4 linked regions of the Rhinolophus ferrumequinum genome follow. The protein of the gene in region 1 interacts with the protein of each later gene in a pairwise test. Links are inferred from orthologs where the notes say so. Each region holds a gene or a part of one and is shown in the gene's direction. Other genes may lie near its edges. The genes, in order: CERT1, RTN4, CSNK1G2 and ACTL8.

What was found.
Region 2: the proteins of CERT1 (region 1) and RTN4 interact in binary tests that used the Homo sapiens proteins (3 or more experiments, as listed by UniProt). The link is inferred for Rhinolophus ferrumequinum from reciprocal best matches to the Homo sapiens genes CERT1 and RTN4.
Region 3: the proteins of CERT1 (region 1) and CSNK1G2 interact in binary tests that used the Homo sapiens proteins (3 or more experiments, as listed by UniProt). The two-hybrid records come from large-scale screens. The link is inferred for Rhinolophus ferrumequinum from reciprocal best matches to the Homo sapiens genes CERT1 and CSNK1G2.
Region 4: the proteins of CERT1 (region 1) and ACTL8 interact in binary tests that used the Homo sapiens proteins (3 or more experiments, as listed by UniProt). The two-hybrid records come from large-scale screens. The link is inferred for Rhinolophus ferrumequinum from reciprocal best matches to the Homo sapiens genes CERT1 and ACTL8.

The regions. Positions count from the first base shown.
Region 1 is NC_046290.1:48,143,878-48,151,020, reverse strand, and holds the start of CERT1 (ceramide transfer protein), read left to right. Parts: upstream 1-4,124; 5' UTR 4,125-4,139; coding exon 4,140-4,222; intron 4,223-4,354; exon of another isoform or gene 4,355-4,474; coding exon 4,475-4,871; intron 4,872-7,143. UniProt on the Homo sapiens protein: Shelters ceramides and diacylglycerol lipids inside its START domain and mediates the intracellular trafficking of ceramides and diacylglycerol lipids in a non-vesicular manner.
Region 2 is NC_046296.1:32,571,212-32,578,085, forward strand, and holds the start of RTN4 (reticulon-4), read left to right. Parts: upstream 1-3,854; 5' UTR 3,855-4,045; coding exon 4,046-4,598; intron 4,599-6,874. UniProt on the Homo sapiens protein: Required to induce the formation and stabilization of endoplasmic reticulum (ER) tubules. They regulate membrane morphogenesis in the ER by promoting tubular ER production.
Region 3 is NC_046301.1:61,248,341-61,255,510, reverse strand, and holds the start of CSNK1G2 (casein kinase I), read left to right. Parts: upstream 1-4,156; 5' UTR 4,157-4,312; intron 4,313-7,170. UniProt on the Homo sapiens protein: Serine/threonine-protein kinase. Casein kinases are operationally defined by their preferential utilization of acidic proteins such as caseins as substrates. It can phosphorylate a large number of proteins. Participates in Wnt signaling.
Region 4 is NC_046292.1:11,733,974-11,741,983, forward strand, and holds the start of ACTL8 (actin-like protein 8), read left to right. Parts: upstream 1-5,006; 5' UTR 5,007-5,044; coding exon 5,045-5,392; intron 5,393-7,610; coding exon 7,611-8,010.

The DNA.
Region 1 (7,143 bases):
TGGAGCTCCAACCGCCTGAGCCACCGGGCCGGCCCCGATGGGGCATTCTTAAGAAATGTTGCAATCATCAATTCTCTTGATGGTGAAATGGAAAATGTGTGGAAAAACAGGGACATCAACAAGTATACGGTGGAAATTAATTTAGAAGATTCTGATTGTAGAGAGATTAACAAATCCTTAACTAATTTATATCACTTATAATTACCTTCTATCATAAAAGTGATACATATAAACATACATACATATACTCACACCTATATACATTTTGTCTTCATTAAAAATACAACAGTATAAAAAGAAAATTCAAGTGGTCCATAATTTCACCACCTAGATAATTATTAAAGACATTAAAATAGAGTGAAAAAATATCAGCTGTGTTATTCACATGCCGTATTTTGTTATTTGTCCTCTAGTTTTAAGACTGTTGCTATTCATAGATTATTACCTCTGTTTCATAGATTAGTATCTCTAAGGTTCCAAAATCACGTTTCTTATGTAAATCCGCAATTTTTAACTGGTTATATCTCAGTTTGGAACAGCAGTATAGAGAACAATTAAATTCCCAGGCTAGCTAAAAAAGGACTATTTAACTCAAAATGCATCATCAACATAATAAATACTGTGGAAATATAGAACCTGCAACCTCTGTTAGGGACTAAAATTCATTATGAAGCCCTAACTTCCAATGTGACTGCATTTGGAGATAGCGTCTATAAAGAGGTAATTAAAGTTAAATGAGGTCATAAAGGTGAGGCCCTAATCCAACAGGATTGGTGTCCTTATAAGAGGAGGAGGGAGGGAACAGAGCCATCCAGTCTGTGGTATTCATATTTTGTTATGGCAGCCTGAGCTAACTAATAAAGGCTCTTTATAGGATCATCTTAAAAAATTACAGAATGATTTTAGTTTTAACTTGGGACATCCTGGCCAGCTCTGGCATCAAGTTCTAGCATCAAGAGTAAATATTCCTCTTCATTCCTCTACCTGCTGATCAGTAACACTGCAAACATTCTCAGTTCCAACATCTCTGGGTTTTTGGCTTCTGTGTCTTGGCAGTGGGAGTGGAGGGCAAGGATGAAGGCTTTGGGATTGGTGTTTAGTGGCGACAAAAGGTGAGAGAATGAAGTGAGGTGGAAGAAGGGAGACATAAGAGGAATTGAAGAACTCTAGTGGGATGAGAATGAACACAGGAATCAGGATATTTGGGCTCAAAATGCAACTATGATCTTTGCTAGCTGTATGAATGACCTTTGGAAAGTTATTTAGTTTCTCTGTGGTTCATTTTCTTCATGTGAAGTATTAGAAATAGAATAGAAATAATAAATTTTACATCGCGGTTAAATAAGACAGCATAGACGCAAGGGCAGGGTAAAAGAATGCTGTTCAAAATCATTAGCTGAATTAAGAGTATAGTTGCTGTGATATACTTATCTACAGTTTATATTATTTATTTACACAATTCTTCCCTCTTTTAGAAGTATTCAGAAGCAAAGAAAAGGGTATATCTTCGAAATCATATAGATCTGTGTTCAAATCCTAACTCTGCCACTTAGAAACTATATGACACTGGGTAAGTTAGTTTCCCTGAGCTTCAGTTTCAAATTCTTTAACATGAAGCCAACAACATTCACTTTATATGGTTTGTAAGGAATAAGACAGATCAGGTATATAAAGTGCCTGACCAAAGCTAAGACTTACTATTGTAAAAATGTCATTTTCTTCATAAATTAAGTGCATTCTCAATCCAAATCCCCATAGAATTTTCTATACAATTTGACAAGCTGTTCTAAAATTCATTTGGAAGAGAAGATACACAAAAATATCCAAATGAAAAAGAACATCAGGAGAATTTTGGTACTATATATATGGGAATTGTATAAAGGTAAATAATTAAATAAGTGTGGTATTAGCATAGTAAGTATAGACAAAGAGAACAACAAAAAAGAATGGAGTCCAGAAATAGACCTACATATATGGAGATTTTGCATATCACGTAAACATAAGGGTAAGAATAGACTATTCACTAAAGTGTTGGATCAAGTCGCTGTCCTTAAAAAACAAATTCCTACCTCATTCCATATACAAAAATAAATCCCAGGTGGATTCATGTTCTAAAAGTAAAAAACAAACATACAAACAAAAACTACCAAGTGAGAAAATATAGGACATTTGTAAGAGGCTTGGGGTAGGCTCTAAGTAAGACAGAAAATTCAGAAGCCATCACTCTCACTATAAAATAAAGAGAAAGAACATGTATTTTATTCTTGTATTGCAGTTTCTTCCCATCAACAGTAATGAAGTGAATCCCAACCTCTAATGTGGTATTGTAATCAGTACACAAATATATTTGTAAAATTAAAAAACAATTTAAATAGTCTTACAAGCTTAGAGGAAGATTGTGGCAAAAAAATCTGTTTTTAAAAGGCAATTTCTCTCATATTAATATTATATACAATGAAACAATTTCCTACTGAGTAAGTGGACATCTTAATGATCTAGGAGCTAGTAGTTGTGATCTAAGTGCGGGAGGTTACAGCCACACACAACTTAGAAATGTATAAAATACAACAGAAATTTCCATTTAAAGATAAACATATACTGTTCTCCCATTGTGAATTCTTCAACAATTCACAATCATTTGCTCAGGACTAATGACATTTTAACACCTACAGCTTAAACATATCAGAAATAGGAAGTCTAACTACATGAGGTAATCGGGAGGCAAAACAAAACTTAATTGCTATGGTATTCAACATTCTAAAGGAATAATTCAGTAATTCCATAGCGAGGAAAAAACGCACTATGTGGGTTTTTTCGTTTTTCTCTTTTGAATGACAACCTTGGGATTATGTTTTCATTAACACGTTGACAAAGTGTTTTCAAAAGCTTTATCTCAAGATTTCATTCATCTTAATGGCTTTCAGTTAGCACTTGATTTCACAATGAAAAACAATTGGTAACCTATTTACAACAGATTCTGCATCTATAAGTGTCAATCTTGGAATGGAAGAGAGTTACTTCTCAGAGACACTTCCTATCATTCCTTTTTTTTCCTGAAGATCCCAGTGAGATCGCCTCTATCCCTATCAGACTTATTTCTGGCCACTGTGCCTTTTCCACCAAACTCAAAATTTCACTCCTATCTTCTCGTCTCTGCAGTATTTTTTTCTGTTTCAATAACGAATTTTACTGTTGGCAATTATTAAGAAATTGACAAAATTGTAAAAGCAACAAACGAGAGGAAAGACCTTAAGCTAGCTACAAAAAGATCTAGAAGTCATCCTTATAATGTATGCAAAAAGACTAGACAAGAGCTGTTAGATCTTCTATTGGTCTTTTCACTAATTCTGGTCTTAAAACAAAGCTAGCCTATTACCTAATCCCTTAGTATTCAACAAGACTACTGCACTTTGGTCATTCTTAGAGAAAAAAGCTAATAACTTTTCTATCTTTCATAGAGAGGTAGGTCGGTAGAGATGGTTAACCTGGGTCTCAGGAAGACACTCATTTACAACTAAGAGAAAACTCCAGGCTATCATGTCACACTCTATTTTACTTTAAAAACTTCAAGCGTGATTGAATCTCTGACATCTTCAAAATTACTTCCACAGAAATAAAACTGGAAATTAACAACGCGAAGCGCTTGCTCTGGTGAGAAGGAACTGAAAATTCTTCCTTCAAAAGAGGGAAACGTTGTGAAGTCTAATTTCTAATGAGCGAGATGAAAGATCTTCAAAATTTGCTGAGGTAGTTTGCGGAAAGAAACCCCCTTGTCATTAGAGAGGTCGCAACCCTCTGGCCCGGCGTTGAGACGAAAGCACCCAGTACTCCCCGCCCAGACAAGCGGCGGCAAGATGCTCCCGGGCTTTCGGGAAGCCGCCATGGAAGGCAGGCCCGGCATCCTCAGCAGAGAGCTATCTCAGGTCCGTCCGCGCAAGCCGGGCGGGTTCGTCACAAACACGCTACGCAGAGAGAGAAGCGCGGCCGAGGGAACCGGTCACGCAACTGTCAAACGAAGCCCACCCATCGCTTGATCGTCCCCAAGGCGACAAGCCTTCCCGGCGCGAAACACTCACCAGTTGCTTCAGGATAGCGACTACAACTCCCAGGAGATCACGCGGAGCCGCGTCCTTCCCAGAATGCAGCACAGCAGCGTCCCCAACACTACTCCTGTCTCCGCTCCTCCTACTTCTCTACTCTGCGTCACCCGGGAGGGCCGAAGGTAGGGTGCGGGAGGGACCCCAAGCCTTCGGCGTGCTGCGTCAGACGTTGGCGGGTGGGTGGGGGACGGGGCGGGGACCTGGGGGAGAATGGGAAGACGTAGAGGAGGGCAGAGGGGAGGGGAGGGTAAATAGTGGGCCAGGCAGGAAGATGGCGGCGGTAGCGGAGGTGTGAGTGGACCCGGGTCTCTGCAGCTGGATTTTCTCTTCCCTTTTTCTTCCCCCTTCCTTTTCTGTTTGAGATTGGCATCAAGGGGGGTGAGTTCGGGTGGCGGCGCCGGTCGCAGCGCAGGAGTCACGGCAACGGTGGCGGCTGACGGCCGGAGGGACAGGTTTCTTTCGCCGCTTGTCTTCCTTCCCGGGTCCGCTCGGTGTCAGGCGCGGCGGCGGCGGCGGCGCGTGGGGTGGACTTCGTCCCTTCTCCAGCACCCCCCGGTGCCGGAGCGCGCACTCTTCCCTTTGCCATCCTCCGACGTTTCACTCCGGGGACTGAACGCCTCCTCCGGCGCAGCTCAGGGAGCGGGGGCCGGTCTCCTGCTCTTCAGTCGCGTCTCCATGTCGGATAACCAGAGCTGGAACTCGTCGGGCTCGGAGGAGGATCCGGAGACGGAGTCTGGGCCGCCTGTGGAGCGCTGCGGGGTCCTTAGCAAGGTGAGCAACCCGCGGGGCCAAAGGCCCCCTGCTCAGACTCACCTGCCGCGAGGCGAGCCGCTGAGGGCATGGGGTGGGGCTGGGCGGGAGGCACGGACTGTCCCGGGCGGGGGCTGCGGAATGTGCCGGGGTGCGTTGCTGAGTTCTGCCGCAGGAGTGCCGGGGCCACGGGTTGGAATGGGGAAAGGGGGTAAAGTGAACTGTCTTCTTTGCCTGCCCTGGGGGGTCGGCAGCCGCTGAGGACCGGGGAAACGTGTTCCAACCCCAGATCCAGTTTGGGAGCGGGATGCGCACCATGTCTTGGAACTGAGGGCGGCAGCTGTCCCGGGCATAGGAATCCAGGTTGGGCAACGGCGGTATCCGAAAAACTGGGTATGGGAACGATGTAAATCGATCCTCTCAAACGAGGTTAGTCCGGGTATGCTGAGCAGAATAGGGTTGGGGGATTCTGGGGACGCGGCTGTTTAGACAGCAGCCGGAGCAAGGAGACTTGGTGCTGAAATCTGAGGGGGTGAACTATGCCAGCCAGGTTAGATGTAGGGAGAGATCTCAATAAGATCTTTTGTGCTTTTCCCCTCACCCTTTACCCCAGTTCAGAAAAGAGCTATTGAATAGGCATGTGATAGGTACAAAATTGTATTCATCGTAACTTGGAGCATATCAGAATGGAGACTGACCTTTAGTTCAGAAAGAAGAACAATATTTAATAATAAAATATTCTTGCAGTCAGATGGCCAGAGTAAGGAAATGACGTTACCTTTCCCGTATTTTATAAAACCCCTTTTTCAAAATTTTAGCAAAGCAGTCATTTGTAGGACTCTAAGGCTAATTAGTTAAAATGGATGAAGCCCTTTTTAAGAGGGAAGATGGGTGATCTTTTGCTAGTACATGGGAGTTTGGGGGTTTTGTTTGTGTTTACTTTTTTTCCTTATAGTGTTGCTATGAGAAGATGCATGTTGCCTTTTTTTTTTTTTCCATTTCTTTCTCCCTTACTGTTAAACTTTTAGAAATGGATGGAGCTAGCAATTAACCTGGAGAAGGGGGAGCTGGGGCCAGCCTCTCAACAAGCTGGTCATGAGATACTAGGTCATGTGCAGCTCCTGGCTATTAAGAAATCACCCTGCTTCCAATATACATACTTGGCTTAAGCATTTGGACATCTTGGAATTGTTTCATGTTAGATTTTTATATTGTCTTCAAAAGGCTGATGAGAAAGGGCCTAAGAAGGGCATGAGTATGTCAGCACTAAGGTTTATAAGTGTTAACCCTTATTTACGTAGTAGAAAAATTACAGTGTGTTAATACTGTGATCATTATTGGAATTTCATTGAAAGGTTTTCAGTGAACGGAAGCTCTCTAGGCTTTCTTTAAATGTATCTTGTGATTCAGGAATCTGTGTTGAACACATTGTATAATAAATACACATTTTCAGATGCAATTGTTATGAAATGGGTTCTTTACTTTTCAGTGGTTCTGGTAGTTTCATCACTTTTCTCATTAGATGAGAAGCAGACTTTCAGATTTAGTATTGTGGTAGTGTTAAGTATTTTACAAAACAAGCTGTGCGTTTGACCCATTGACACTTTTTGGTGATTGTTGTAACTGGTGGAAAGAGTCACTAGTGCTCTGAGTATTCACCTTATGCAGAGCAGTGTAGTTGGTATACTCTGGAAATGTGGAATAAATGGAAGACTATCTCTTTGATATTTAAATGCATAGAAATGTGGTATTTGACCACTTCTGTGGTAGCTAAGTAACTTCAGTTTTGTTGCATGCTTAGATCAACAGGAATATAGGTTTTGGTGGTATTCTTATTATTTCCCCGAAATATAACAATTTATGGTTATATGTAATGTTTTCTGGAAACTTTTTAATCAAGAGTATTTTATATTTAATACATGTTTTAAAATTTAAAGTAATATATATTTTGAGCCCTTTGTATTCATTTGGTAATTTAAGCACAAGTTAGAACTCAGCATCTTTTTTTTTCCTTCTGTTGAGTAATTCAGGTATGTCCCACTACCAATTTGATTTGTTTCTTAAACCAGTCCAAAGTTGTTTATTTTTTCCTATATGGTAATCTAAAATACATGAAAATACTTATGAAACATCTTTTTATGGAATTTATTCTTAAGCACGTAGGTTCTAGGAACACTGGATAGACAATAATTCTAGTTTACTCTAACAAATATCAGGATTAATCATGGTTGGGAAAAGCTTCATGCCTTAGTAGGACTTGAGAGCAACTAAAGACTGAGTAAAATAAATCGCA
Region 2 (6,874 bases), on another chromosome or scaffold:
CAATATAAGCATTCTGCAATAAGCTATAGTTCTATAGAGACTGAATGGGCTATTTCCCTAAGTCGTGAGTCTCCCTTTACTGAAAATGTTCAAGCACATTTGTGTCTGATTGGTTCAGTGCTGTATTCCTGAGTCTTGAACAGTGCTTGTGGCAGAGTAAGTAGCCAATAAGTATTTCACGTAAGAATGAATAAAGCACACAATGGAAGCATAATATAGATGTTTCAATTAGCTTTTGCTGTGTAATGAATCATCTCCAAATGTAATAGTCTAAAACAACGATTCATTCTTTCTCATGATTCTGTGAGTTGGTTGGACAGTCTGAGATGGTTTCACATTTCTGGGACATCCGCTGCATGGCTGGGCAGATAGGTCTCTCTCTCCATGTGTCTGTCATCTTGGGCTTCACCGTTTCAAGACAGTGAAAGTGGAAGCCGTAATATCTCTGCTGGTTAGGCTTAGAACTCATTCCCATGGCATTGTATTGGTCAAGACAGTCACAAGCTCAGAAGAGGTAGGGAAATTGATCCGACTCTTAAAGGGAGTCATTGCAGTATTTGTGGCCATTTTCAATCTACCACAGACTAAATTTAAAAACCTTTTTTGCAGGGAATTCTTATAAAGGGAGGGAAATTGGTCAGGCTGCTCTTTCAGAGTCCTTCCAACTCTTAGATTCTATGACTCCACCAGACTGAATGGATCTCTTATAGTGTACTAAGAGAGAACAGTTATCACCCATGGTATTTAGAAACTTTAATCTTCTACATCTGGTATGAAAATTTCGAAGATAATTCATTGAATAAGTATTTTCTAACTATTATTATGATCTAGAGTTTATATTCTTCCTTTAATCATGTCAAATACCCACCAGAATTTTCTTGTTAGTGAGAATGATATTTTCATTTACACTAATGTGTAATTAACTCTACTTTTAATTCTGGTATAGTACCAGCATTCTCCTTTCCTTATGCTTTGTTGACCATCCTATGAACACTGGGTAAACTCTTTACCGTTATTCATCCATCAGATACTTAATTTTCTAGATTTCACTGAGATCAATAATATAAAATTCTTGTTTTTCTTCTGTGTCAAAGGAGAGTGCTTATATTACTGCCTCAGTATTTAAGGTTTACTATTAAAGTTGCAAATCTACCAATTTTTCTGTAATCATTCTTTGGTGACACTTAATACAGATATTTCCTTGTGACTATTTTAGTAGCAGGTACACAGATATATTAAAATAGAAATATCATATAACCAACTTGCAAGTAATATATGAAAACCCTATGAAACTTTCCGTTAAGGAGTTTCAGACAATCATAGTGAGAAAAACAGTATGGGGAAGACTGAACTGCTGATAAATAATTGTGACTTAGCAGAAAAAGCTCAGATTATAAAAATTTTGTTAGTATATTTTTGTATGTGTATGTACGTAGTTGAAAATCATTACAAAGCATTTGATAATTTTTGACAAATGTTTGACAAATACTCGAAACATCATTTTAGTTATCATTGTAGGAATCTGTTTTAAAATTTTCAGTTTGGCATTAAACTTCCTGTCCCAAAATTCTATACTAATACTTTTCTCTTCCTATATGCTCCCAACTTTTCAAACAAACAAAAACTCAAAGCAACTCACAACCATTTTGTATGAATAAAGCCAGTTCATCTTTGTGGAATTGATATGCCAGGTCTTGACTGTATTGTTGATAATTCACCTGATCTGGTAACATTTCTAGGAAATCTTGTTCTACCTTTCCTTTTTTTTTTTTTAAAAAATTAATGAACTTTATTTCTTAGTTTTACATTAACAGAAAAATTAAATAGAACAGAGAGTTCTCATACCCTCCCATGAGAGTTCTCATACCCAACCCCGACCAGTTTCCTGTTACTAACATCTTGCATTGGTATAGTACATTTGTTGTAACTGATGAACCCATATTGACATACTATTTACTAAAGCCCAAAATTTAGAGTTCACTCTTTGTGTTGCATAGTTCTATGAGTTTTGCCAAATGTACATCATGTATCTTTCATCATAGTATCATACAGAATAGTTTCACTGCCCTAAAAGTCTCCTGTGTTTCACCTATTCATCTCTCCTTCCTCCCCCTCAACCCCTGCCTTTCCTTTTAGTACTCTAATTAAGTGTAGGATAATACTAATTAGTTGGAGCTAAGAATTTGCTTAAATAACCAGTGATTTCCCCACGGCAATCAAAATTTCTTAATCATTAATTTAGACCAGCACTGTCCAATAGAAATATATGAGCTGTATATGTACTTAAAACTTTCTAGAAGCTTCATTTAAAAAATAAAAAGAAATAAGTTAAATTAACATAATATACTTATCTCAATATATCCAAAATAGTATCAATTCTAATATGTAATCAGTATAAAAATTGAGATGTTTAACTTTTGTTGGTACTAACTCTCAAAATGTAGTGTGCATTTTAAACTTACAGCACATCTCGTCTGAGACTAGTTACATTTCAAGTGCTGAACAGCCACAAGTAGCCGGTGACTATGGTATTGAACCAACCGTGCAGGCCTGGGCAGTCAGCAACTTTAAAGCAAGTTATCCTCTCTCCAGGGCCTCCACATTAGGCATGCAGCAAAGACTTTTGAAAGGTATATCAGAAAGATAAAAGGGCTCTCTAAATCTCTGGATGTTGATACTTACATGTTCTGCAACCACTTTCTTTAAACTCTCCAGTTTTGGAAAAAGTGGAATGGGAATCATGCTCATTCTGGCATATCAAAGAAATGAGCATTGGGCTTCCTGCTCCCAGAAAGCCTGAATCATCTGAAATGTTGACTCATGAACCTAAGGTTCATGAAATGTAATGTGAATCAAATTTGCCTTTCAAGGCATCATTCTATTTCCATTTTCCTGTCTCCCATCGTCCTCTAAGTGACTCATCCTACCATGTGAGAGTCCAGCATTGAGTAGATCCCAAAATCTTCCTGGAAGGAAATTAGTGGACTTTCAAATGGTCCACCCCAGACTCCAGATACCGTGTTTTCCCAAAAATAAGACCTAACCGGAAAATAAGCCCTAGCATGATTTTTCAGGATGACATCCCCTGAACATAAGCCCTAATGTGTCTTTTGGAGCAAAAATTAATGTAAGACCTGGTCTTATTTTCGGGGAAACACGGTAGTCCAGCCCAGCTCTGTTTTGCCTACCTCATTGAGGATTTGCAAATTAGACTGGGAATGATCTTAAAACTGTCAAAAATTTTTTTCTTTAAAGGTGGTGATAGTAGTAGTGATGAGGTGGTCTGGGAATTTAAGTTGGAAAAAATATCTTTTATTTCAAAATCTTTAAAAATTTAACGTATATTTCAGTCCTTAGGGCGTACTACATAGTCCGGTTAGTACCTTTCTCCACTCTGGGTTTTTCCTTTCCTGGGAGGAAAGTTTCCACCCCCAACCTCCCAGGATAACGCCCTTCCGGTGGCGCGCCAGGCACTTCTCCGACCCTTCAGGGCAGGCAGCTGGCTGGGTTTCACAGTACTCTAACTACAGACTGACCTCCAACTGCGGGCAAGACCGAGACCCCAGCCCTAACCCTCAACTACCGAAAGTGGAGGGTGGGACTGCCAGTTTCAAACCCCGCCCATCGAGCCCGGTAAGCGAGGAAGAACAATAAGACCCACCCACTTCCATCTCTTTTCCTTTCCGTTGGGCCGGCTAGTTGCCCTTCGTCCGGTACCCGTAGCCGATTGGCTCCCTTCCTCCGCGCCCGCCCTGCCTCTCCCTGCTGGGGAGGGTGAATCACGCCAAACTGGGCGGAGAGGCGGCTGGCCTCTCTCGTTCGCTCTTCTGGGCGGCGGCGGCAACTGGGGACTGGGCGGGTGGCGCATCACGGGCGCGGAGGCAGGAGAAGCAGTCTCATTGTTCCGGGAGCCGTCGCCACTGCAGGTCCCTCGTTCGGCCCTGCCCCTCTTAGTCCTCCCCACCCCCCACAACCGCCCGCGGCTCTGAAAAGAAGCGTCCCCCGCGGCCGTAGCAGCTGCAGCATCATCTCCGACCCGGCAGCCATGGAAAACATGGACCAGTCGCCTCTGGTCTCCTCGTCCTCGGACAACCCGCCCCGGCCTCAGCCCGCGTTCAAGTACCAGTTCGTGAGGGATCCCGAGGACGAGGAGGAAGAAGAGGAGGAGGAAGACGAGGACGAAGACGAGGACCTGGAGGAGCTGGAGGTACTGGAGAGGAAGCCCGCCGCCGGGCTGTCTGCGGCCCCAGTGCCCACCGCCCCCGCTGCGCCCCTGCTGGACTTTGGCAATGACTTCGTGCCCCCGGCGCCCCGGGGACCCCTACCGGCCGATCCCCCCGCCGCCCCGGAGCGGCAGCCGTCTTGGGACCCGAGCCCCGCGACGTCCGCGGTGGCCGCGCCATCCCTACCTTCCACTGCTGCAGCCTCGCCCTCCAAGCTCCTCGAGGACGACGAGTCCCCAGCCCGGCCTCCCCCTCCTCCACCGGCCAGCGTGAGCCCCCAGGCCGAGCCAGGGTGGACCCCTCTCGCCCCGGCCCCCTCCGCGCCCCCCTCAACCCCGGCCGCGCCCAAGCGCAGGGGCTCCTCAGGCTCAGTGGGTAAGTGCTTAGCCCTCCCGCCTCGCGCCGCCCCACGCGCCTCTCCCTCCTTTGTGTGCAGCCTCAGCTGCCTCCGGCCGAGCCCTCCTCTCGGCCCCGAGGGGGCTTTGTCTGCGGACCTCAGGGAGAAGGCGTCTCCCGGGTGGGAGCCGCGGGGAGCGGGGTGGGGCGGCGGAGGAAGCCCGGGTTTGTTCCTCATTGTTTGTCTGGGTATCGGGGAACACGTGCACCCCGCTCGCTCCCCATTCCACTGCGTTCCAGAAGTTAGGCACCCACTCCTAGTAGTAGGAGCTGGTTGTGAATAGAGGAACTAGGGTTGTGGATTCATTGGGCTGGCGTGGTTCTGGGGTGAGGATGGAGAGGCCTTGCGGTAATCTTTTGTCTCCCGGTCTGGGTTGCTCCTAGGGAAGGGCGCAGTTTGGCTCCTAGTCTGTTTGCCTGCTTTCAGACCTGGCCTCCCTCCTCACCCCCTTCCTGGCCTGGGTGACTCCCTTGCGCTTCAGCCCCCTTTCCCTCCTTTTGCCCTGGCTGAGAGCTGGCCCATTGGAAAACGTCCACATTGGCCCAGCTGCAGTGAAGGGAGAGCGCCTCCAGTGGTGTGGCGCGTGGAAAATTGGGAAGGAGAGAGTTCTGGAGAAGTCCTGCCACCGCCCAGTTTACCCCCGGTTGTGATGTGGCGACTCCCCACCAGCTAAACTGAGCCTGGGAAATGCGATCTGGCCATTGTGTTTCGAGGGGGCGCAGTCCTGCCAGGGTCTCAGCTGCGGAGTGAGTGGAATTGCTGTTAGTGTGAACAGGTTTAGCCTCTTACTGCATCATGCTTGATTCGTAGGGAGGGGAAAAAAAGGCAAAATGGTTGCTATCTTTAAAGAAGGAAAACCTGTGGATTCCTTGCTGGGAATAGGCTAATTGAACTTGTGGCAGATTTACCATGAGACTTATGAAATGTTTTGAGACAGGTTTTCATTTATTGGTTAGCAATATTATTTCTTAGAAGTTATGTTTTAGGTCGACAGACAAATCTGCATAGTCCGTAAATAGTTTTCAAATCTTTTTATTCACATGAGTAGTACCTGATTACACATTATTATCAATTTATTTTTAGGAATATTGTTTTATTACCTTTTTCATCTCGGGAATTGTTTATTTTAGAAGAGAAAAAATCAAGTTTGTTAGAGATTGAGAATTCATTTTATCAGGCAAATTATTAACTAATTTACAAGTAACTTGTTAATTTTGGAGCAAAAAGTGTCCCACTAACAGTAGGACCTTTCTTTATGTGTAAAAGGTAAAGAATAAGGTAGTTTTACTGCTTGCTGAGAAATCTTACTATCATTGTAGGATTTTGGAAATCGTTCATTTTCTAGAAAAATAAAATCAGTCTGAGAGCACGGAATTTTTTTTTTTCTTGCATTCACTCCTCTACAATTGGAATATAAGCCAATTGTGATGTTTCTGAATAACATTTTGATATTGACATCCTCCAAAGCATTAATCAAAACACTAATTACTACACTAAAGATACTAGAAGATGAGGAATAACTCACTTTCCTTTTTCTGAATCAAAAATACATTTGAGAGAAACTAAGGTGAGGTAGAAAAAGATAAAGTAATAGGAAATTTGCAGAAGGGAAATTTAATGATTAACAAAAGCATACTAATTTGTCCTCTTGTATTCCTGCATGGTAACAAAGAGAAGAGTTCTGTTCTTTGAACATTGGGGATTTGGGAGGTGACAGCATTCTCAATTTTGACTTTTGGAAGACAAAGAAGAGAGAATATTGCCTTCCCATCCATTCTATCTAGTTTCCTAATTCTTTATTGATAATGCCTATTTGAAAACTGGTTTATTTAGTAAATGCAGGAACATCCTGATTATGGTCATGGATACTTAAGCTATTTCAGTGAGTCCAGATTTCTTAAAAGACTTTGTTGGTTCATTCAACTGCATATTGACTGTCTGCAGAGACAATGCACTGTTGGGCTATGATATATATGATGTACAGTGATAAGCAAGACACATGTGCTCCCTATGGGGGAGTACAGATAATAAGGACATAAATCAGGACCTTACAATAATTGTGTTATAAGGAAAATAAACAGGATGATGGCATGGAGAATGACTGGAATGTGTGCGGGCCTTCCTAGGTAGGGTAGGCACTGAGACAGGCCTTTCTGAGGAGGTGAGATAGGAAGTGCAATTAAAAATTTTTGGGCAACTCCTAGGAGGCAAAAGCCTTGAGGCAGGAATGAGCTCTGTGTGTTTGAGAAACTAA
Region 3 (7,170 bases), on another chromosome or scaffold:
TGACCACAAACAGGGAGGATTAAAACAGCAGAGATTTATTTCCTCTCAGTGCTGGAGTCCGGAAGTCTGAGATTAAGGTGTTGGCAGGGCGGGGTCCTTGGGAGGCCTTGAACAAGAATGTTCCAGGCCTGTCTCCCAGCTTCTGGTGGCTCCAGCGGGCCTCGTCATTCCTGGATTGCAGATGAATCACTTCAGTCTTTGTGTCGTCACGTGGCCTGTCCCTGAGCACCTGTGTTCAGATTTCCCTCTTCATATAAGGACACCAGTCACTGCGTTAGAGCCACTCCTACTCTGGTGTGACCTCATTTTAACTTAATTACATCTGCAAGGACCCTATTTTCAAATAAGGTCCCATTCACAAGTACCGGGGGTCAGGATTTCAACATATGTTTTTGGGGGACGCAATGCAACCCATAACATTGACCAAATCCGGGTCCACACCTGTATGATTTTCCTGGGGTCACCATAACAAAGCACTACAAACTGGGTGGCTCAAAACAATTTATCCTTGTACATCTGGAGTGCAGAAATCTGAGGTCAAGGTGTCTCAGGTCCCCGCTCCCTCCAGAGGCTCCAGGGGAGGGTCCTTCCTGCTTCTTCCAGCCTCTGAGGGCTCCAGTGTCCGTGGGCTGTGGCTGCATTACCCCAATCTCCCCCTCTCTTGTTTTATGGACATCTTCTCTCTCTACCTCTGTCTTTGCGTCTCTCTCTTTTTCTATAGTTTGTGTCCTTTTAATAAATACCCTTGCATAGTTATATGCATGTCTCTCTTCTTATAAGGACACCAGTCATTGGATTCAGGGCCTACCCTAATCTAGTACGACTTTATCTTAACTAATTACATCTGCAGAGACCCTATTTCACATTCTGAGGTTCTGGGTGGACATGAGTTTGGGGGGATGCTATTCAACCCTCTACCTTTTCCAAACCTTGGTCCTCTGGAAGTGGGGTGAAGAAACTCCTCATAGCTCCTTGTGACAGGTAGGACACTTCATGCCCCACGCTCAGGTACTAAGTCATCCTGGTTTCCTGGGAGTTTGGGGTTTTAGCACTGACAGTCCCAGGAGACCTGGGCAAACTGGGGTCCCCTACACTGTATCACAACAATGGGGAAAGCAGATGCCTGAGAAGCCACACATGGCAGAAGGTCCCTATCTGGTAACAAGTCAGGTAGGATGCTTCCTCCTACGCAGCAATCCCAGACAAGGATCTGATTGGCTCATTCTGGGCCAATCAGAGATGGCTGGGTGGTCACATGGTACAGACCTGGTTGCTGGGGGCTATTCTCAGAGGATGGGGGGGCCCCTAAGGTGGACAGTTCACCCCAGGAGCTTCTGCACCCTCCAGGCCTCAGTTTCTTCATGGCTGCCCCTCACCACCTCTCTCATGTGTCTTCTGGCCTCCGTTTCCCCTCCATTGCTCACAGTGGAGAGACAGAACTTTGACTTGTCCCAATCAGTCGTGAGCATATGGCATCAGGCTCTGCCTTGGGTGGAACACCTTCTTACACTACAGCCACTGGGATTGGGGTGTGGGGGGTCCCAGGCTGCCCCTCAGAGTAGTTGGAGCCAGCACTACCCACCTGTGGAAGGCAGCAACATTGCAGGTTTGAAGCCAGGGTACGATGGGCAAATCCCTTTGCCTCTTAAACCTGTTTCCATCTACAGCTGGAAAACAGGAATGTGCATGTCCAAGTGAGTCCCTGCTCCGTATGGGGAGGGGCCTGACGGCAGGCAACACTCATTCCATTCAGTCGGACAAAACGGAACCAGGACACCTGCTTGGGCTGGTGCTGGACACAGGGACACAGCCCTGGGCCTCTCCTGGGGTCTGTCCAAGCAGGGGGAGACTGATGGATCTGCTTCTTGTAAGGGTAAAGAGACAGAAGGGGTGCTTCCTGCCATCTCCTCCCCGAAATCCACAGCTGTTTAGGATTTATTGGGAGGCCAGGATATTGTTTGACTTTCTGGGGGGTGGCGGGGAGACCAGCTCATCCTCTTTACAGTGTTCTTATTATTTTAACAAGAGCTCCAAAGGGGCTGTTTCCCACTCCAGCTTTCCCAAATGGTGTCCCCATGATCAAAGCCAAAGGACGCAGGAACATGTGGAGCACATTTGAAGCGGGTTAAAAATGAGAAAGATGGAAAGGCAGTTTGCTTTTTCAAAGATCCCAAGTGATTAATTAGAAAGAAATATGTTCGTTTGAGGCAGAAGGTCCTATGCTGGCAGTTCTTTATTCATTAACTCATAGATTCCCGCCATGAGGGGGCTATCGTTAGTCCTAACATACAGATGAAGATGTGGAGGACCAGAGAGGGTCAATGATCTACTCAGAGTCACACAGCCTCTGACAGGCACAACCCCTGCCTTGGCCTCACCTCCTCCGTTCTTTCAGCTGCACAAGCCTCCCTGCCTTTTACAGGGGCAAGGATGGAGCTCGGGTTTAGGGCTCAAATACCTCTGGAGGATAGATCCTCTGCCCTCCTGGGAGCTGAATTTCTTAAAAGCAGATGTTCCTGAATATCAAGAAAGGGAAAGGACAGGAGAGATAGGGCTTGGAAATATGAGGAAATGAAACCCCAAGTTATCCAGAATCTGGGAGGACCATGGAGTTCATTTGTTCTTTCATTCATTCATTTGCTACACACAGACTGAGTGCCTAGTGTATGTACAGGCAAAGCAGTGAGCAAAGCAGACCTGGTCCCGACCTGGCGTGGCTGGCAGAGGAGCTTGATTTTAAACAAACACACTCCTTTATGGTAAGGCTCAGGTTGGAGAGGATCAAGATGCAATGAGAAAGGACAATAGGGGATACGGCTGGGGCTTCCTGGAGACTGCAACACTGCAAGTGGGACTGAAGGAGAAGTACTGGGCCGAATAAGCCCTAATGCTTGCCTCTGCCAGGGCCTGGCTTGGCCCCAAACCATTGCCATTCCACGGTCCCATTCCAGTTTAATTGTCTTCCCCCATCTGGTTACTTACTGGTCAGCAGGACAGTAAGTAATCAGAGACCATGGAAACTTCTTCCCATCTGGTCACACGTAGCTTTAGCCTGTAGGGTGTGGCCCTGTCACTGCCCCACGCCGCCTTGACACCTTCTGAAACCACTGTGTCTACTTATTTATTGTCCTGTCTCCTCTTCCCCCCCAGGACTGAGGACTCCTTGGAAAGTGACGCCAAGAATACAGCTCACGTTCTGTTCTGAGAGCCGCTGGCAGGCACTTAATACTTGAATGGATGAGTATCCTCTAACGTTAAAATACCCCCAGGAGGCACGCCGGGCATGCGGGAGGGCAGGCACTGTTTCTCCAGGTCCTGTCCCGGGTGGAGCAGGGCCTCACAGCGGGGCCTTGGTCAGTCACCCCTCCCCACGCCTCCTCTCGGTCCAGGCAGTAGGCGGTGGGCGGTGGATATTATCAAATGCCAGCTGCGTACAGGGCCTGTGCTCCGCCCGGCGGCCCAGCAGCACCCCAGCCAGGCCAGCTGCCTTGGGTGACCCACAGCGGAGGCAGCCCGGTGCTGATCCCTCCTTTACTCCTCACTGACGTCACCACTTATTAGGACACTGCGAAGACCATCCACACCGATTGCCCATCACCCTAGACTGTTTTCACATCCTGGCCCCACCCGACCAGTCCCCCGCCACCAGCCCCCGAAGTCGACCCATCTCGGCGCCGACCACGCCCCGCGGCACCGCCCGGTCGTGATGTCAGGTGGCGAGACCGTGACGAAAGAGAAGTGCGGCCGGTCACGCGTCGCCATAGCAACGGCGGGGCGGGCCCGGGCGAGTGGCGAGAGCACCGCCCCCCGAAGGGTGGAGGCGGCCCGTTTCCCTCCGCGTGCGCGCGTCCCGGCACCCGTGTGCATTCGCTGGCCCCGCGGGAAGAAGCCTGACTATCCCGAGGCGGCCGCAAAGCGCAGCGGTCGTCGCGCGGCGCCACCCGCTGCCGCAAAGCAGCGAGCGCGCCGCCGGGCCCCTCCCCCCCGCGCTGTGACGTCGGCGCGCGCCCTGCGGCGGCGGAGGCGGCGGCTGCGCAGTGAGCGCCGGGTCCTCCCCACGACGCTGGCGGCGTAAGCGCGGGCCTCGGCGACGCTACGAGACGGGCGAGCCGGGCGCCCGCGCGGCGGGGACGGCCCGCGCCCAACATGCGGAGGCCGGCGGCGCGGGAGCGGAGGCTCGAGCGGGCGCCGGAGCCGGAGCGAGAGCGGGTCCCGCAGTGGGGGACCGCGCCGCGCTGCTGAGGGAGCCAGGCCGCCCAGCCCGGCCGGCCGGCCGCGGGGCCACGGCCACGGCCACGGCGGAGGCCGAGAGGTAACGACGCGCGCGCCCTCGCCGGCTGCCGCGGCCACGCGCCCGGCCCTGCGGCCCCACCTCCGCGGACTCCGGTACTTCGCCGCCCCTACAGGACCCCAGGACCCCAGCACCCCGCCGACCCCCGCACCTTAGACCCCTCGACCCTTACAACCCGCACTCTGGACCCCCTTACCCCAGCTTCTTTTGCCCGTACAACCCGCAGAACCCCGCACTCCGAACCCTGCTGCTAACCCCCACTTCCACTGACTCCGCACTCCGATCCCGTTGCCCCAACAGCCCCGTGACTCCCACACTCCAACCCCTCTGCTCCTACGGCCCCCTGACTCCCATACTCTAGCCCCAGCCCCTCACCCCTTACTTCCTTCACGCCAGACCTTGCCCCTTCAGTGACCCCCAAACTCAGACCTTGCCACTTCTGCCTCCCGCTTATCCCCACAGTCCAGACCCGGTTTCCCCCCACTATCCCCTCACTCCAGGCCCAGCTGCTCCCACTGACCCCGCACTGCAGACCCTGCTCTCTCTCACTGCCCACTTGGCCCCACCTCACCTGCCCCCATCACTGTCCCCCTGTGCTCAAGCTCATTGCCCACTCCTGTGACCACCCAGCTCTCTCCCTTGGACCGCCGCCCTTGCCCACCTGGTGCCATCACCCCTCCCAACGCTGGTGCACATATTTCCCCCCACCCCGCTGTCCTGAAGGTCTTGGGGAGAGCTGGACCCTTGGGGTGGGGAAAGGGTGTGCAGCAAAGAAGGGTCTCAACCAGGGTGACCTGTTGCGGGGTGCTGCTCAGGCTCAGCCTGGCTGCGCCCTCCCCCTTCCGCCCTCACCACTGGCTTTGTTTTCCGGAAACACTTTAGATCAGGGAGGGGGTGGTGAGAGGTCTGTGCCTCCTTGGTGGCCGGCCACACTCATCCCGCCACTGATCCCTGCCCTGCCTGGGACGGTGCTTTCCCTGCCCTTTCTGCCCCAACTTTCTTCCTGGGGAAGCTTTCACTTAGGGGCTGGGGATCTGAGAGAAAGCCTCACGGTGATGTCCAAGCTGTCGTCCTGCGCAGGCTCTAGGGCAGCTGGGTTATTCCCGCATTGTTTGCAGGAAATGGTCCTGGAGGGTTCTGTGCTTGTAGGTGGAGTCTGGCGTTTTCTCCCCAGTGCCTTCCACAGGGGAACCCAGGCCTGGCCAGTGTCTGGAACTCTGGGGGTGGGTCCTCCATCCCTGTCCCCGGGGACACAGACAGGCTCAGTTGGCGTTTGCCAGCCCCCACAGGGGCGCCGGTAGCTCATGGGTGTGAGATGAGTGGGGAAGCACAAAGGCTCCGATCTGGGGGCAAACCGCCTGCCACCCATGGGGAGAGCTCCTCTGATTAGGGAAGGGGTGGCCGCCACTGGGGAATGGAGTCGTCTCTGTGAGAAGAGCAGATTGTGAGCAGGCCCACAGGTTTGAAAGGGGGAAGTTTGCCGTTGTTGCCAGTAGTTGGTTTCTGTTTTTCGTACTAAATTGTGCCGAGAAAGGAACCACTCTGGGCTCTGCAGAGCGAGGGGATGGGGGTGGGGAGGGCTGGTGCAGCGCCCCCAGAAGTCTCCAGGACTGCAGGTGTTTGTTGCTTTGCCTTCAAGGAACAGAATGGGAGGGCTGCTAGGGGCACTGAGGGCGGGTTAGATCCCAGGTTTGGGAGCCAGTTGTGTCTGCTGCCCTCGGCAGGTGGAGGGAGATCTGGAAGGAGCTGGCTGGACCCTCCACCCCAGGATGGGGGAAACCCCTGGGGCTCTGCAGTGGTGGTCGTGCATGGGTTTGGTTTTTCCATGCACCGATGTCAGTCCGCCCTTGTAAAGCGTCTTCCTGTCTGCTTCTGATTCCTTTCATTTCTCTGAAGTGGATGGGACGGGCATTTCATTACCTGGCTCTGGGCGTCCCTTCACGGTGACGACAAAACCCTGTGCAGACTGACTTCTTTGAACTGCCGGTTCTGGTTCCATCTGACTCTCCTAATTACATAGTAGTTATCTCTGGGTTGCAAGAGGAAGCAGGTAAGTTTTTTTTTTGTTTTTTATTTTTTGTTTTTTTAACTAAAAGCCTTCCTATGTGCTCCTTCCAGTTTTGGGGGAGCCAGCACGCCAGCCAGTAATTTGGGAAGCAAGTCAGCTGAGAGGCGTCCCAGACAGCTGTGGAGCCCCTTGTGTCCGTGCAGGTTTACTGGTGGGTCTGAGCAAGGTCCCTGAGAGGCTGACCTTAGGGACAGGGGCCTCTCTCCCAGGGACACCCAGTCATACCTTGTCCCATGGTTAACTTTGCCGCCCCTCCTGGATCCCAGGCCACCTCAGGAGCAGTGGGGCCCCTCATTGTGGTTGTGGAGTCGGTCCCTGTCTTGGCATATCCATCCTTTCTGGGCCCAGAAAAACCAGGGCTGAGCAGGCAGGGCAGGGAGCTGGGTGCAGGGTGGCCAGGGGCCTCCAGCCTTCAGGCCTCCCGGGACGTTGATGGGATGCAAGGCGCCTCTCAGCCTCGGGCCTCGGCTTCCCTGTGTGATACGGTCACAATGGTCACAAATGGGCAGTGACGAGTGCTTTGGAGGGACAGTATGCCGGTAGCCTCGTTAAAAAACAAAAACCAACAGGTGAAAATCATTTTAATACACTTTGTTTAACTCGATATGTCTAGAACATCATTTAAACATGTGATGGGTGAGAGACAGCTTATTATTTTTTCTTTGGGTGTGCATTTTATGCTCAGGGTTCATTTGGACCCTAAATTTTCATTGGAAATGTTTGGTTTTAAGAAATAGACATTTTTGAGTGGAAAACAGCGCCTTTGGGACCAGTGAGTCCTGGGAGGTCTGCCAGCTGCTCTGGGTCGTGC
Region 4 (8,010 bases), on another chromosome or scaffold:
GGGATTTTCTACATAGACAATGATGTCTTCTGCAAATAAGGATGGTTTTATTGCTTCCTTTCCAATTTCTAAGCCCTTTATTTCTTTTTCTTGCCTTATTATATTGGCTAAGACTTCTAGTTAATTGTTGAATATGAGTGGTGAGAACTTTCAGTCTTTCACCATTAAGTATGATCTTATCTGTAGGTGTTTTCCTAGATGCCCTGTATCAGGTTAAGGAAACTCCCTTCTATTCCTTGTTGTTGAGAGTTTTCATTATGCATGCGTGTTGAATTTTATCCAGCGCTTTTTTTGCATTCATTGAGGTGGTCACGTGGTTTTGAATTACACTGATTTAAAAATGTTGATCAGCCATACATTTCTAGGATAAGTCCCAGTTAGTTGATACATTTTATCCTTTTTATATGTTGCTGATTTTGCTAATATTTTATTGAGAATTTTTTATACCTAAATGCATAGAAAGTTTGGTTTATAGTTTTCTTTTTTTGGTAATAGCTTTGGTTTTGGTATCAAGATAATGCTGCCCTCACAGAATTAGGTGGGATGTGTTCCCTCCTCTTCTGCTTTCTGGAAGAAATTGTGTATAGTTAGCGTTATTTCTTCCTTAAATGTTTGGTAGAATTTACCAGTGAAGTCACTTGGGCCTGGAGTTTTCTTTGTTGGAAAGTTTTTAACTAAAAATTCAATCACTTTTAATAATTACAGAGCTCTTCAGGTTATACATTTCTTCTTGAGAGAACTTGGGTAGATTATGTCTTTAAAGGAATTTGTCCATTTTACCTAAGTTGTCATACTGATGTCACCTCATCCCTGATATCAGTCCTTTGTGTCTTCTTTGTTTCTTCTTAGTCTGACTAGAAGTTTATCAATTTATTGATCTTTTCAAAGAACCAACTTTTGGTTTTACTGACTTTTCTCTATTGGTTTCCTGTTTCCAGTTTCAATGATTTTTTTTCTTGTTATTTCCATCTTCTGCTTCCTTTTGCTTTAATGCATCCTTATTTTTCTATTTTCTTAAGGTGAAAGCTTACATTATTGACTTCAACCCTTTCTTCTTCTCTAATACACACATTTAATGCTATAAATTCCCTCTGAGCACTGCTTTAGTTGCATCTCACAAATTTGATAGGTTGTATTTTTATTTTAATCCGGTTCAAAATATTTCCTAATTTTTTCTTTGACCCATGTGCTATTTAGACTTGCATTGTTTAATTTACAAACATTTGGGGATTTCCCAGATATCATTCTTAAATATATCCAGAATCCAACCACTTTGCTCCCTTTTCGCAACTACTACCTTAATGCAGGTCACTCTCATCTTTCTCGGCCCTTCAATCTCCTGCTTCTACTCTTGACCTCTACAGTTTATTCTTCATATCGGCCCAAATGATCCTTTCACAACTGAGGTCAGACCGTGTCATTTCTCTGCTCAACCCCCCAGCGGTTTCCCACCTCTCCAAGCACAGCACAAAGGTCTGCGTGGCCCATCACAGTCTTCAAACCCTTCCCTGCACCCACCACGTCCCACTATAGTGGCCTCCTGGCTGTTCCTGGAACACATCTAGCCATGTCTTCCTCAGGGCCTTTGCACTTATTGTTCCTTTGGCTTGAAATGCTTTTCCAGGTAATCACATGCCTTATTCTCTCACTTTATTCAGTTCTCTGTTCGCATGTCACCTTATAGAGAGGACTTTTCTAACTGTCCTATTTAGAATAGCATCATGCCTCTGTCCCTTTTACCAGATTTAATTTTTCTTCATTGCACTAATCCCCCTGGCACGACACATTTCATCTGGTGCTGACTGACAGTCTTTCTCAGTAGCTTACAAGCCTCAGGAGGGCAGGAACCACGGCAGTCTAACTAGCACATAATCGGCGCTCAATAGGGATTGGTAGGATAGGTGACTTGGTAAAAATGCTTTTGAATAGATTTTCTCTCTGTTCTTAGAGCTCGCTCCTTGGGGCCATCTGGACTTTCTTCCTATAGTCATGGTCCAGGGGAGGAATGGCCCCCAGCTTCCCACCCTGGTGCTTCCAGGCCCCGGTCAGGAGGTCCACCAGCCAGGAGGCCCCCTCAGTGGGCATCCTGATTGACAGCCACAGTGGCCAATCACCCTGCCGGCATCTGTGATTCCAAATGCCAGAGGCGAGGAAGCATTTGTCAGTGACCCCGCTCTTGTGCGGGGAGGTGGGTGACAGAATCCGCTTCCCAGAATGTCATTCAAATGCCCGGTTCTCCCTCACTCTGGGTGACTCGGGGTGAGGACTCCATCAAATCAGTCTGCCAGCAGGGAGGGAAGAGACTGGCACCTCGGCTCCGTCTCTCTCCTGTTTGCTCTGCCCATCTGATGTCAGAGCGAATTCAAGGCAGTGACACCTAATCACCGCCCCCAGGCTGGTGACGGAAGGGAGCCACTGGCCAGGGCCAGGCAGCGGTTGTCATGCTTCCACAGTGATGGGCAGATGCAACTGCTGGCCAGAAACTGAGGCAGAGCAGGTAGCGCTGGAGTGACAGCCCCAGCACACGGCCTCCGTGCCGAATGGCGTCCCTGGCTGTCTCTCTTATCTGAGGTGCCCAGGCACCGAGTCTGCTGTCTGTGTGGCAGTTTGTACTCTGCAAGGTGATTTCCTAAACCTCTCCTTTGTCCCCACACTCACTGGAGTTTTCCTTGAAAATTTTGTATTTAGAGTAAAAGTCACTCTTTAGTTGGGAGAGTTTCGACAAACTCATCTAGTTGTGTGCCCACCTCCACAAACAAGATACAGCAGCGTTCCTAGCATCACCCCCAAATTCCGCCATGACCCCGGGGGCCAACCCCTCCTGCCCCTGGCAGCCACTGATCTGTCCTTTCCTTTTTGCCTTTTCCAGAATGTCGTATGAATGGAATCATACATTGTGGAGCCTTTCCCGTCGGGCTTCTTTCACTCAGCTTAATGCATTTGAGAGTTACTCATGTTATTAGGTGTATCAGTTATTTGTTCTTTTTTTATTACCCAGTATTATTCCATGGAATGGAGATAGGTTTATCCATTCCCCAGGGGAAGGATTTTTAGGTTGTTTCTAGTTTTTGGTGATTATGACTAGAACTACTATAAACTTGGGCACAGAGGTTTTTGTGGGAACATACGTTTTCATTTTTCTTGGGTAAATACCTTGGCGTGGAAAAACGAGGTTGTAGGGGAGGTGTATGCTTAACGTTCCAAGAAGCTGCCAAACTGTTTCCAGAGTGACATCTCTGGCATCCCCACCAGCAGTGAGTGAGGGTTCCAGATCCTCCATTTCTTTTCCAGCACTCAGAACAGCTGCTCTTTAATTCCAGCCATCCCCATAGTGTCTCATTGTGGTTTTCCTTTTCCTTTTCCTGTGTTTGGCAGCCACATATCTTCTTTTCTGACGTATGTGCATCTTTGGCCCACTGAAAAAAAAATGGAGTTGTTTTTCTTATTATTGGGTTTTACGAGTTACGGTTTTTGGATATAAGTTCTTTATCAGATATGTGATTCGTACATATTGTCTCCTGTGGCTTGTCTTTTTATTGTCTTAACAGTGTCTTTTGAAGGGCAGAGTTCTCAAATGTGACCAAGTCCAGTTTACCCAATTTGTTCTTTTCTGGATTTGATTGGGCTATCAATATTATAGCTAAGAAAACTTTACCAAAGTCACCATGATTTTGTCCGAAGTTTTATTTTAAAATTTTATAGTTTTTACATTTTACATTTAGGTCTGTGGTCCATTTAGACTTAATTATGATAAGGTGCATGGTACTCCATACCTTAAAGTATATATTTTTTGGCGTGTGGATCTCCAGTTGTTCTCTGTCATTGGTTGTCAAGACTGTTCTTCTTCCATTTCATTGGTTTTGCGCCTTGTCAAAGATCTGTTGACCTTTTTTTGTGTGGCTCTATTTTTGGACGCTCCATCCTGTTCCCTGGATCTGTGTGACTGTCCCTTCACCAATACCACATTGTCTTGGCTACTGTCGTTTTGTAGGAAGTCCGGAAGTCAGGTAGTGACCACACCTCCCTTTTCAGCTTGGTGGTTATTATTACCCTCACTTTACAGATGAGGCAGCTGACCGCATTCTGGGTTAGACGTCTCACTCACAGCCTCCTCTACATACTAAGTTTAGCTGCTTATTTCATACTCAAACCCCACGTCTTCTGAGCTTGCCTGATGCTCAGAGCATGGCCTGTGGAGTCTGGTTTGGGCGTAACCCTCAGCTGTGCTTTGATCAGTTGTGTGGCCCTGGGAAAGTAACTTTAACCCCTCTGTGCCTCAGTTTCCCCATCTGTAAAACAAGTGTAAGGACGGTAACTGCTTTATAATTGTGATGCGGATTCAATGATTAGATCAGACCATATGGCATTTTTGACCGACACGAGTAACAGTTTCACACAGTTCAACTGACTATGCAAAATGCCTCTCTTATACTAGAGAAAGGGTGTGTACCCCGGAAATGGTCGCTATCGCTGTTGTCACCAGCTTGTCGTTGTCACTATTGCTCCTGCTCGTGCTGCTGTGGCGACTGCAGTATGATTGTTGGGGGAGGTGGGCCCTGAGGCTGATGGTTTCTGTTCCCTGTACCCTCCAACAGGCAGCCAACCACCACCAAGTGCCTCCTGGAGGACAGGCTTCTTGCCGAATCTGCAAAGAGTAACGGAGCCCATCCTCTGCTCTTGTGGAGCGGGAAGTGCTCTTGTGGCACGTGTGCAAAGTACAACGGGAGAAGCCTGGTGGGAAGGAAGGGCCGGCAGGACTTCCCAGATGGGCCCATTAGGCAGGCCGTGTAGGACAGTTGGGAGCTTGGGACGGGAAGAACACTCTAGGTACAAGTTATCACTTGTGCAAACGCTTGGGAGGGGGAACGGACAGGCTTCCAGGGAGCCTGAGGTTTGGCTGTGGCTGGAGAGTGGGAAGCAGCCCACGGTGTCCCAGAATGGGTTCACAGGTAACCCCCATCCTTTCCCTCCACAGGTGGCCCAAGTTTGCCAAACAGCCTCGAGGAGCCAAATTCGTCAGACCCCTCCCACCTCTGCCTCTGCCATGGCTTCGAGAACCATCATCATCGATCACGGGTCTGGCTTTGTGAAGTCTGGCTTTTCCGGCTGGAACGAGCCCCAGATGATCTTCCCAAGCGTCGTGAACTACAGCCCGTGCAGGGAGAACCCCGGACCCAGCTACGCCAGGCGGCGCCTGGGTCTCGGCATTGACATTTTCCATCCGGACACGTATAGCTACCCCATCCAGCGTGGCCGCGTCCTCAACTGGGAGGGCGTGGAGCACATCTGGTCCTTTGTCCTAGAGAAACACAGACGGGAGCACGAGGAGTCTCCTGTGTTGGTCACAGAGTGCTCCCTGAGGGAGCCTGCGGACCGACGGAAGACCCTGGAGGTAAGGCCTTCTCAGGGCGGCCGTCACGGGGGGCGGGGGGGAACAGCTGGCACTTTGTGTTTGGACATGATTGGGCATCAGGAAGTCTGCTTGCTTAAGCCTTGGCCCCCAAATGTTTCCTGAGTACCTCGTTTGTGCCGGCACTGAGCTAGGCAAGAGGGACTCACAGAGGGCTCCCCCCCACCCATCGAGACACAGCAGGAACAATGCTCTGTGGAAAAGGCCCTGCAGGGAGATACCGGACATTCAGTCGTGGATTCCACAAATGTTCACGGATCGGATTCCGGCCCTCAAAGAGTTTACCTTCTGGGGGAGAAGACTTGACCACGAATACGTTACCAAAAAAGAATTCCAGAGGGATCAGTTCTAGAAACAAAATGAAGTGGGGTGATAGCTGACTGGTGAGGATAGAGGGAGCCCTTTTGAAGAGGGTGAGCAGGGAGGGTTTCTCTGAGGAGGAGATTTCAGCCAGTGAGGCTGAAGCCCGGTAAAGGAGGGAGGGTGGCAAGAGGGAGACGGGAAGGTGAGGTTGACAGGGGCTGGACCTGGCAGGCTTGGTACACTGTGGGAAATGTTTGTATTTTACTCTAAATCAAGAGTTGATAAACTACAACTGGAAGGCCAAATCTAGCCCAACATCTGTTTTTATAAATAAAGTTTTATTTGAACACAGCCACGCCCACTCATTTACATATTATCTCTGGCTACTTTTACACTTCAACAGCAGAGCTGTGTCAGAGACTATAGAGTCCATAAAACCTAAAATACGTACTATTGTAGATAAAATTCAAGATACCTAGTTAGACTGGAATTTCAGATAAACAACAAATAATGTTTTAGTTTACCATGTTTCCCTGAAAATAAGACCTAGCTGGACCATCAGCTCTAATGCATCTTTTGGAGCAAAAATACTATAAGTAAAATAAGACCGGGTCTTATATAATATGATATAATATGATATGATATGATATGTGATATGATATATAGTATAGTATAGTACTGGGTCTTATATTAATTTTTGCTCCAACAGATGCATTAGAGCTGATGGTCTGACTCGGTCTTATTTTTGGGGAAACATGGTAAGTATATCCCAAATATTGCACAGGACGTACTTATACAAAATCATTATTTGTCTATCTGAAACTCAAATTTAACTGGGCATCCTATATATTTTTCTTTCCAGTGTCAAAGTGAATGCTTTAATGGGTGTTATTAATTGGGTGTCCTATATTTTTATTTGCTAGACCTGGCCAACCTGGCGATCTAGCTCTTTACTGAGAATGCTTGCCAAGCCCTGCTCTAATGAAGGAACGCTCCTGGAGAGTTTTAAGTGGGGAGTCACATGTGATTTTCTATTTGGAAAAGAGAACCTTGGGAGGTGGGTGGGGGCGGGGGTGTGGGGTGGGGAGTCGGGACATTATTCCGAGAGTGGGACTGGAGGGAGCTCCCTCCCACTGAGCGGAGAAGACAGGGCTGCGAGGCGTGGAGGATGCACTGCAACAGCCTTTCTGCCTCTATGGGGTCAGAAACTTGGGGGTGCACCCAGAGCTGGGGACCTGGGGAGGTGGTGCTCTGTACAGATCGAGGGGGTGATGGACAGGGGGAGAAACATCAGCTTAGGGACTTCGCCAAATGCTAAATATCAGAATTCCAGTTTTTGGCTTGATATCTGAAAAGTTTTTATGAAAAAATAGTTAAGTCTGCACCTACACGGAGGTGAGGGTATTTTCTTTCTTTCTTTACACCCCCTGTTTTTGGGAGGCAGTGGTGGACAGGCTGCACTTGTTTCTTTTCTAATCTCTTCTTTCCTGTTCTAAAGAAGTGGTTCAGGCTGCACCTCTGCCCACCTTGGCCGTGCCCCTCCCCTCCCCCCGCCATCCCCCAGTGATCACAAAGCCAGGCATCTCAGCTATTTCTTGCAGTGTATTTCTACCCCTCCCCCAAAATGGTCTTCTGAAAGACTGTCATCAGACACGCTCCTAAGGGCACATCTGACTTTCTAATCCTCTAGAGCCCCTCCCTTATCCCCACAGTTTGAGCTCCTGGGTCCCTAGGCCCAGTGTCCTGGGGGCAGCCCGCCAGTCCCTTGAGGATACTTGTCTGTGCCCACTTCAGTTTTGAGAGCTGCATGTAGCATGGTTTTGGGGAAAACAGAAATGGATCGGGGTCCTTTGTCCTAGGAAAGCACCCTGAGTGTCTGCTTTCCCCCGTCTTGCAGATTATGTTTGAGTTACTGGATGTCCCGTCCTTGCTCCTGGCTGACCAGCTGGCAATGTCCCTGTACGCCTCTGGCCTCCTGACCGGCGTGGTGGTCGATTCTGGCTACGGCCTGACCCGCGTGCAGCCCTTCCATCTGGGCCACCCGTTACGGCTCAGCAGTAAGACGCTGGAGTTTGCGGGCCAGGATCTCTCTGCCTATCTCTTCAAGAGCCTTTTTAAGGAAGAGAGCAACGAACACAACCTGTTTCAGCTGGAAACGGTTGCCACCACTCAGATGAGCAAATGCTATGTGCCACAGAATCTGGGGGAAGCTCTGGACTTCCGTCAGAACCTGCCGAGTGGCTCTGATGAGAGTAACACCTATCAGCTTCCGGATGGCACCCCCGTGGAGCTGACCC